2 linked regions of the Mus musculus genome follow. The protein of the gene in region 1 purifies or fractionates together with the protein of each later gene. This does not show direct contact. Links are inferred from orthologs where the notes say so. Each region holds a gene or a part of one and is shown on either strand. Other genes may lie near its edges.

Region 1 (3,807 bases):
CACAGTAGACCTGGTCTTCACAGATCAGTATGACTTAAGACAGCACCCACAGACATGCCCAGAGGGCCAACCCAATTTAGCCAATCGAATTGAGATTCTCTTTCCAACTGATTCCAGGCTGAGTCAAATTGACAATTAAAGCTACCCTTCACACCATCCAGTTTTGAAGTAGTAAGTGGATCTGGATCCAAGGCTGAGAACAGAGCCCTCTTGATCCCTGTCACTTCCCCAAGGCACACCATAGCACGCTACTGAACTGGGACAAGCCTTCAATACATGAGCCTTTGAGGAACACTGTGCTCCACAAGACAGCTAAGCATTTCACACTGGCACTTGAGACAGGGGCTGCTCTCTTCCTACTACACAGGTAGGAGAAGTAAAATGCATGGAAAATGAGATTGCCTGCAGGTCACACGAGTGACAGCATCTGGGTTTAAATCCCTGTCTGACCTTCCTTACACACCCTTTCGCTGTACCCTCTAGACTACTGGGTCCCCAGAGGGCTATGGGGTACACAGTCCTCGTAAGTGAAGCCAGCAAGGTGATGTGGAGGGTCCACGTGTCTTGGCTTCTCAGACTGGCTCTCCTGTTCCCTTGCTTGTCCAGGAATCTCTTCTCCAGCCCCACTGAGGTCCCCCCATGGCCTTTCATCCTGACGCCTGCCACCCAGCGACCGCTTCTCACATCCTCCCTGGTGAAGAATGTCACCTTGCTTCATATCTGCACCCTTGTGGTTGGCTGGGGAGGGGGGCGGTGGGGGCGGGGGTGAGGTTAACCTCATTGTTGTCTTATATGGTCATTTAAATCTCCAAGGGCTTCCTCCAAGGGCCAAAAATAATCCAGAGACACAGCAGCTGTGTCCAGCACACAGAGAGGGCCCGGCCATCTGCTTTGGTTCAGAGCCCTGTGTCTGTCTGTCACTTAGACTCTTCCTCCCGGCTCGCAGCTCACCCTCCATCCTCCTTACTGGCTCCAGCATGACTCGCTTCTCTTATGCAGAGTACTTTGCTCTGTTTCACTCTGGCTCTGCACCTTCCAGGTCCCCTTCGTCTCCCGAGAACCCACCGGCCCGCGCACCCCTGGGTCTGTTCCAAGGGGTCATGCAGAAGTATAGCAGCAACCTGTTCAAGACCTCCCAGATGGCGTAAGTGATCGACCCCCCCACCTGGCTCCAAGACCACCCTGCTCACACCTCCAGCTGAGGCAGCAGGGAGAGGCTTTGCAGCCCTAGATCTCCTTCCTGCTGTGTCTAGAGTCTAGATTCTAGTGCTCCTACTGAACTAGACACAGGGGACATAGCCTGATGCCCGCTAGGAGTGGCATTTGGGCTGTGCTTGGGACTGACCCCTCAGATCTTCTCAGAGGTTGTGACCCTGCTGCTGGAGGAGTTCCGTGGGTCTCTGAATCTGGGGAGGGAGAGGTTCAAAGGGCTGGGGTGTGTGTTGGGGGGTGGTGGTGAGGAGTTGGCTTTCACTTCTATTCATCCCTGTCTTGTGTCTCCCCATGCCACCTCCAGGGCTTCATCTGTGCACATCTAAATCCCCACCCACAACACTTCATTTAAGAACCAGGTGCCAAAGCCCGGTACTAATCAATTAACCGGGGCCAAAGGAGAGGGTTCTGCCTGGGATATGGAGCTAATGGGACATTTGTACCTCCTTCCTTGCTCTGACTCGGAGTGTCCCTAAAAGCAGTTTAAAAATGGGGGCCCTTTGCTGGTACCCTATTTCTGTGTGGCAGAGAGGAGGATACAGCTGGCCAGTTCTCACTCTCAGCCTTCCCAAGCCCTATGGCCACCAGGGGCTTTGAGGCTGAGAAAAAAGAAAGTCCCAGTTCTAATCTCAGTACAACTACCTACCCTCGAGTGTATGCCATAGGAGGGCCTGCCCCCGAGTCTCTCTTCTCTGCTAGGCAGGCCTTGGGGAAGACAAAGTTGTCTTCCAAGGCCCTGTGCAGCTTGCTTCTAGTCCTTGGTGGTTTAACATGCCTGGCAGCCTTTCTCTCTTTAGGGTGGGGACTTTGTCTGGGCTCATGGAGAAGCTGTTAGTGTGTGTGATGCTGAGAGCCCCAGGATCTGTGAATCCCAGCTAGGGAGACCCACTCTGGCTGGTGGGTCCTGACAGCAAGTTTTACATAGTGGGAACCTCCCCTCACCAAGGCCACAGGACCAGCCAGCCCACCCCCCCCCACACACACACACACTTCAGCCACATACCCAATGGGCCCCTCCCTGAGACTGATGGGGGTTGGTCCTGCTGCTCCTGAGTGGCTCTCAAGCAGGTGGCTATGATGGTGTTGATGGACCTTCAAGATCTAGCTGGTCAGTCGCTTGTCCTTGTTGGGTCTCTGGCTTCACCCCGTATCTACTATTAATAACCCCGAGGCTGAGATGCAGGAGGAAGTGTCACATGCTGGAGGAAGCAGCTGGGAACATTTGGGGGTTGGTCCTAGAGATTCCCCCTAAACCCATCCTAGCTCCTGATCCCAGGATCCCAGACAGTCATGGTCCTTACTGACTTGGTAGCAGGGGACAAAGGGAAAGAGATTGCAGAGAACAGACAGAAAAGTAAATGGATAGATGAAAAAAAAAAATGCCTTCAAGGAGCCAGACAAAGATGCCCCCCACTGTGGCCTTGAAATCTTTTGACATTTAGAAATTTTAAACTGTGAAGGATTCTAATTTATTAATCCTTCAAGTATTGTCATTTCGCAGCAGCTGGGAGTAGGGATAATGGATTCGATGGGGAGATGGGGAGACAGGAAGGCTGGGGTAACAGGGAAGGGAGGGACCTTGGCAGGCCCTTGCCTTTGGGAGCTCTTGCTAGCGTTCAACCCTGTAGGTAGCTGTGCGTGGTACAAATCAGAGGGCCCTCTTTTGGGAAGGTCCCTAGTTACTGAAGATTTCTCTGCAGTTCTAAGCCAGTGTTAGCAATCTGTGCCGGAGTGTAAGCAGTGTTAGCAATCTGTGCCGGAGTGTAAGCAGTGTTAGCAATCTCTCCCTGGTAGAAACAGTTTGGGTGTGACGTTAGCTTCAGCCACAGAAAGTCTCGGGCCTGCTGGGCTCCCACCCTGATTTGCTTGCATCCAGTGAGCTAGAGGGCACAAGCATTAGGCCCAGAACAAGCTGAATACGAAGAAGGAGAGACCTCAGAGCAGACACTGGCTCCTGCCCTCCAGCAGGACCCAGGCCACCCGGCCCTGCCTCTGCACGCAGCTGAGAACTGGCTGCTGCTTGCTCTCACAGGGCTATGGACCCCGTGCTGAAGGCCATCAAGGAAGGGGATGAAGAGGCCTTGAAGATCATGATCCAGGATGGGAAGAATCTTGCAGAGCCCAACAAGGAGGGCTGGCTGCCGCTCCACGAGGCTGCCTACTATGGCCAGCTGGGCTGCCTGAAAGTCCTGCAGCAAGGTGAGGACCATCTCTGAAGGGCCAGCAGGGTACAGGGCTCTCTCCCTTGGTGAAGAGGGCAGGCCATGTAATGGTCGCCACAAACACAGTTAAAATCACTGTGTTGCGGCGGGGGTGGGTGGAGTGGTGTGGAGAATTGGGTTCGGGGTAGGGGTGGGGTGGACAGGCCTCTCCCTGTTCCTGCCCCTGCCTCTTGTTGCTGTCTCTCCATGCCTTTCAGCCGGCAGAACCTAATTCCTAGAAAAAGAACGAGGGAAGAACTAAATTCTGGGACAGCCACTGCTAGTTTGTTCCAGAATGTTCCAGGGGCTGATTTGGTGTGGAAAGGCTCAGGCACAACTGTGCCTGTGCACTGCCAAAGCTGTTCCCACCAACTGTGGGACCCTGGGCTGGTTC
Region 2 (4,535 bases), on another chromosome or scaffold:
AAGCCTTGGGATGACAAAACAGCCAAGGCTGTCCCCCATGGAGCTCACTAGGAAATGGAGAAGGGAGGCAAGCAAACCACCCGGTGTGCTGATGACACCTGCGGCTGCTCTAGCTCTGGCCGCCACCTTTTTAATAAGTAGGAAACCAAAGCTCCAAACAGCCATTGTGAAATCTCTAAGTTATCACAAGCAGGCACTCTACTCTGGCTGTACAGGGTATAGGTGGAACCCAAGGGAGAGATTACCCACACTGCAACTGGGTGACAGGCCAACTTTGGAATAAGAAGGCAAATAAGGGGCTGGTGAGATGGCTCAGTGGGTAAGAGCACCCGACTGCTCTTCCGAAGGTCCGGAGTTCAAATCCCAGCAACCACATGGTGGCTCACAACCATCTGTAACAAGATCTGATGCCCTCTTCTGGAGTGTCTGAAGACAGCTACAATGTACTTACATATAATAAATAAATAAATCTTAAAAAAAAAAAAAAACTATAAAAAAAAAAAGAAGGCAAATAAATAACTTTAAGATTATGAAAAGTCAGGGCCTGAGAGATGGCTCAGTGTAAGAACTCTCAAACAGGATGTCAAGTTTAGTCCCAGTGCCCGGCCCAGGGAGCTCACAACTGCCATAACCCCAGCTCCAGAGGGATCCACGGGCTCTTAAACACATATGTCCATACCCTCCATACATGTGCATTCATTAAACTAAAATTTAACAATGTTAGGGGTGGGGTAGGTTGAGACAGGCTCTCTACATAAACCTGGATGGCCGTCTTAGAGATCATTAAGTAGACCAAGTTGGCCTTGAAATCAGAGATCCATCTTCTGCCTCCCAAGTGCGGGATTAAAAGGTGTGTGCCACCACGCCCAGAATAAACAAACAAACAAACTTAACTATATATATTTAAAAGCCAATCTCAGCCGGGTGTGGTGGTGTACGCCTTTAATCCCAGTGCCTGGGAGGCAGAGGCAGGTGGATTTCTGAGTTCGAGGCCAGCCTGGTCTACACAGAGAAACCCTGTCTCGAAAAACAAACAAACAAAAAGCCAATCTCTGGCCAGATAGACTGCTCAAAAATTAAAGTGCTTGCATGAGTTTAAGCCTTGGGACCCACATGGCAGGAGAAAAGAAGCAACTCCCAATACTCTTCTTCTATGTCACACTCACACTCACACACACACACACACACACACACACACACACACACACACACACACACAGAGTTCTTCTATGTGTCCGCCCCCACCACAACTCTAAGTAAATTTTGTTGTTTTTAAAGACAGGGTTTCTTGTGTAGTACTGGCTATCCTGGAATTTGCTGTTAGATCAGGTTGTCATGGAACTCAAGAGACCCACCTGCCTATGGCTCCCAAGTGCTGGGATTAAAGAATGCACCATTAACAACAGGGTAATAAAATAATGATGATGATGATTTAAAAAAAAAAAGCGGGCGTGGTGGTGGACCCCTTTAATTTCAGCACTCGGGAGGCAGAGGCAGGTGGATTTCTGAGTTGGAGGCCAGCCTGGTCTACAAAGTGAGTTCCAGGACAGCCAGGGCTACACAGAGAAACCCTGTCTCGAAAAAACCAAAACAAACAAAAAAGATTTATTCATTATTTGTTTTTAAGATGGGGTCCCACTACTTAGCCTTGGTTGTGTAGACCAGGCTGGCCTAAGGCGCACAGAGATCTGTTTATCTTTGCTTCTCGAGTACTAAGTTTAAAGATATCACCACACCTGGCCAGAATAAAATTTCTAAGCAAAGCTTGTGCTGCCTCTGCCCCCATGCCTCAGCCTCCCGAGTGCTGGCATTTCAGACATTCGCAACCACACTCAACCCTAAAATGGAAATCACTGCCCAGCTCCTAAGCAAGGATGAGGGGTGGAACAGCTGGATTTTAGTGTTTTAGTCAAATCAGATTCTACATAGAAACTAGTGTCTGGGTCTACAATTAAATGTAAAAAGTAAAGTTTGGGAGCCCTGATGAAGCAAGTCCAAAGACAAAGAATAGACTGTGGAATCTCTTGATGCTACGTTTAAAGTCTCAAAGCCAAGAAACGCGCACATTTTCAAACTGCAGAAATCTATTTCAACTACTCCCCAGTCGCCCTGTAAAGCAACCTCACAGTAATCTAAAATTTTATGTTTATGCTACCTGCATCTGGGTTTGCATACCAAATGTGCCTAATGCCCTCAAGGGCCATAATGGGGTGCTGGAGTTATTGGAACAGGAGTTAGAGGGTGGTGAGTTGCCATGTGGGTGTGGAAAATCGAACCCGGGTTCTCTGTTAAGAACAAGCTTGTGCTCTTAACTGTGGAAACATCTCTCCGGTCACTGAGCCTCATTTCGGTTATGAGACAGAATCCGTATAGTGGCGCAGGCTCGCAATTTCCAGTTTTTGGGAGGTGCGCCCTCCTGGGTTCTAAGCCAACCTCGGCTAAATGGGCAAGCTCTAATCCTGAGGAACGTGAGAGCATCTCAAAGACGAACATCCCAACCCTCAGATCTACGCGAGGGATCCGCTGGGAGATTTGCTGGCCGCAGGGCCGGAGGTTCCCCTCGGGTATCCCGGTCACGCCCCCTCCCCCCCGCCCCCATAGGAACCATCCCGTGTCTGGCGGCCCGGCCCGGCCCAGCACTCGCCGGCTCGGCCCAGCTCGCGGTCCCGGCTTCGCCTGCATCGCTTACCCATCACCTGGACCCTGCAGATGGCACAGGTATCGCACTCAACGTCCCAGCTCCACATGGCTACCGCGTTCCACTTCTTGAGAGAGAACATCTTGTCGCCTCCCGACTTGGAGCCTGCGCTCCCGGAGTGCGAAGAAAGGACGCAGGGTTCCTCGCCGTCCTCCACGTCGGCCATGGCGGCGGCGCAGAACGGCGACGCGGACGTTGGGCGCGGAGGCGGGAGGTACGGTGGCTCAGCGGGGCCACAACACACGCCACGGAGCCTCCCGCAGGCACGGGCGGGCGGGCGGAGCCAGACGGCGATGATTGGATGGCGCGCGCCAGTGACGTCACGAGGGGCTGGGCAAGGCCTGTACAGAGAACCCCAGCGCTTGCTAAAGTGGCCAAAGGCCAGTTGCTGTAGGGCAGGCCCGGGTCAGTAAGCGAGCATTGTCTGGAGTTACATTGTATTAAACTCGGGGGAGTCTCAGAAATCACATCGTCCCTGTCTTCATTTGTCTCCTTTCTCCCAAATGTAAAACTATCAAGAGTAGGGACAGAATTCTCATCACTGTAACCTCCGTATCTTACAAAATGGTTGGCCTTGAATTCAGATTCATTTATTTATTTATTTATTTATTTATTTATTTATTTATTTATTTATTTATTTTTGGTTTTTCGGCAGCCGGGCGTGGTAGCTCACACCTTTAATCCCAGCACTCGGGAGGCAGAGGCAGGCGGATTTCTGAGTTCAAGGCCAGCCTGGTTACAAAGTGCGTTCCAGGACAGCCAGGGCTATACAGAGAAACCCTGTCTCGCAACAAGCAAGCAAGCAAGCAAGCAAGCAAACAAACAAAATATATGTTTTTTTAAACTTTATTTTATGTGCATTGCTGTGAGGTGTCAGATTCCTTGGAAAGGACCTGGAGTTACAGACAGTTGTGATCTGCCATGGAGGTGCTGAGGATTGAACCCCGGTCGTTTGGAAGAACAGACCATGGTTTTAACCACTGAGTCATCCCTCCAGACACTACATTTGTTTGTTTGTTTGTTTGTTTGTTATTGTTCTCAGGTGACAGAGAATAGGTAAGCAGAAGGGCAAGAACGCAATGCTTAAGCAAATGTGTGCTGGGGAGAAAGCAGAGTGAGCCAGCCAGGGAAGGGCCAGGCAGTGGGCCCCTGGGACTGTGGTTAGGTCCCTCCCACCAGGCTTTGTCTCAGATCACTTGGCCAGCATTGAAGGAAAGCTTGGATGAAAAAGCAAAACAAATGTTCCTGCCTCGTGCTCAGCTCACGTCCACCGCCATCCTTCAGGCTACTCTTACCAACGGGGGTGGTGGTGTCCATCCTTACCGGTTAAGCCAATTAGAAGTATATGGGGCAGTGGCCGTGCACACCTTACTCTGAGCACTTGGGAGACAGCAGCAGGTGGATCCTTGTGAGTTATAAGGCCAGCCTGGTCTACAAATCAAGTTTCGGGCAACCAAGGCTACACAGAGAAGCCTTGTCTCGAAAAACAAAAACAAACAAAAAAGTACGAGTCCTTTATTCGTGCAGGACCAAATTCCGGCGCATGCCTCAGAGTCTCTTGGTGTCGCAGCTCAGGGATACGGTGTTTCTAAAGGCAAACCCCACAAAGACCACAACTCACATGAAAGTCAGATGACAGAACAATCTTGAAACGTTCATTTCTGACAGAACATGGTGATTTTTTTTTCCAGACGTAACATGAAAGTTACTTTTGACTTGTGCCTTCTTCAGTTATTTTAGTTTACATTAATTATTTTGGTTTATACATCGGGACCATGGTCCAGGCCACAGAAGTCCCAAATGTGCTGGGAGGGTAGATGTGGGCATGGAGGTGGGT

Evidence for each region.
Region 2: the proteins of Asb2 (region 1) and Rnf7 purify together in Homo sapiens (affinity purification with western blotting; 3 studies listed by BioGRID and IntAct, with this or other methods). This does not show direct contact. The link is inferred for Mus musculus from reciprocal best matches to the Homo sapiens genes ASB2 and RNF7.

What each region holds. Positions count from the first base shown.
Region 1 is NC_000078.6:103,335,414-103,339,220, reverse strand, and holds part of Asb2 (ankyrin repeat and SOCS box protein 2), read left to right. Parts: intron 1-830; exon of another isoform or gene 831-977; coding exon of another isoform or gene 978-1,039; coding exon 1,040-1,144; intron 1,145-2,215; exon of another isoform or gene 2,216-2,348; intron 2,349-3,244; coding exon 3,245-3,411; intron 3,412-3,807. UniProt on the Homo sapiens protein: Substrate-recognition component of a SCF-like ECS (Elongin-Cullin-SOCS-box protein) E3 ubiquitin-protein ligase complex which mediates the ubiquitination and subsequent proteasomal degradation of target proteins.
Region 2 is NC_000075.6:96,475,719-96,480,253, forward strand, and holds the start of Rnf7 (RING-box protein 2), read right to left. Parts: upstream 2,958-4,535; 5' UTR 2,865-2,957; coding exon 2,690-2,864; intron 1-2,689. UniProt on the Homo sapiens protein: Catalytic component of multiple cullin-5-RING E3 ubiquitin-protein ligase complexes (ECS complexes), which mediate the ubiquitination and subsequent proteasomal degradation of target proteins.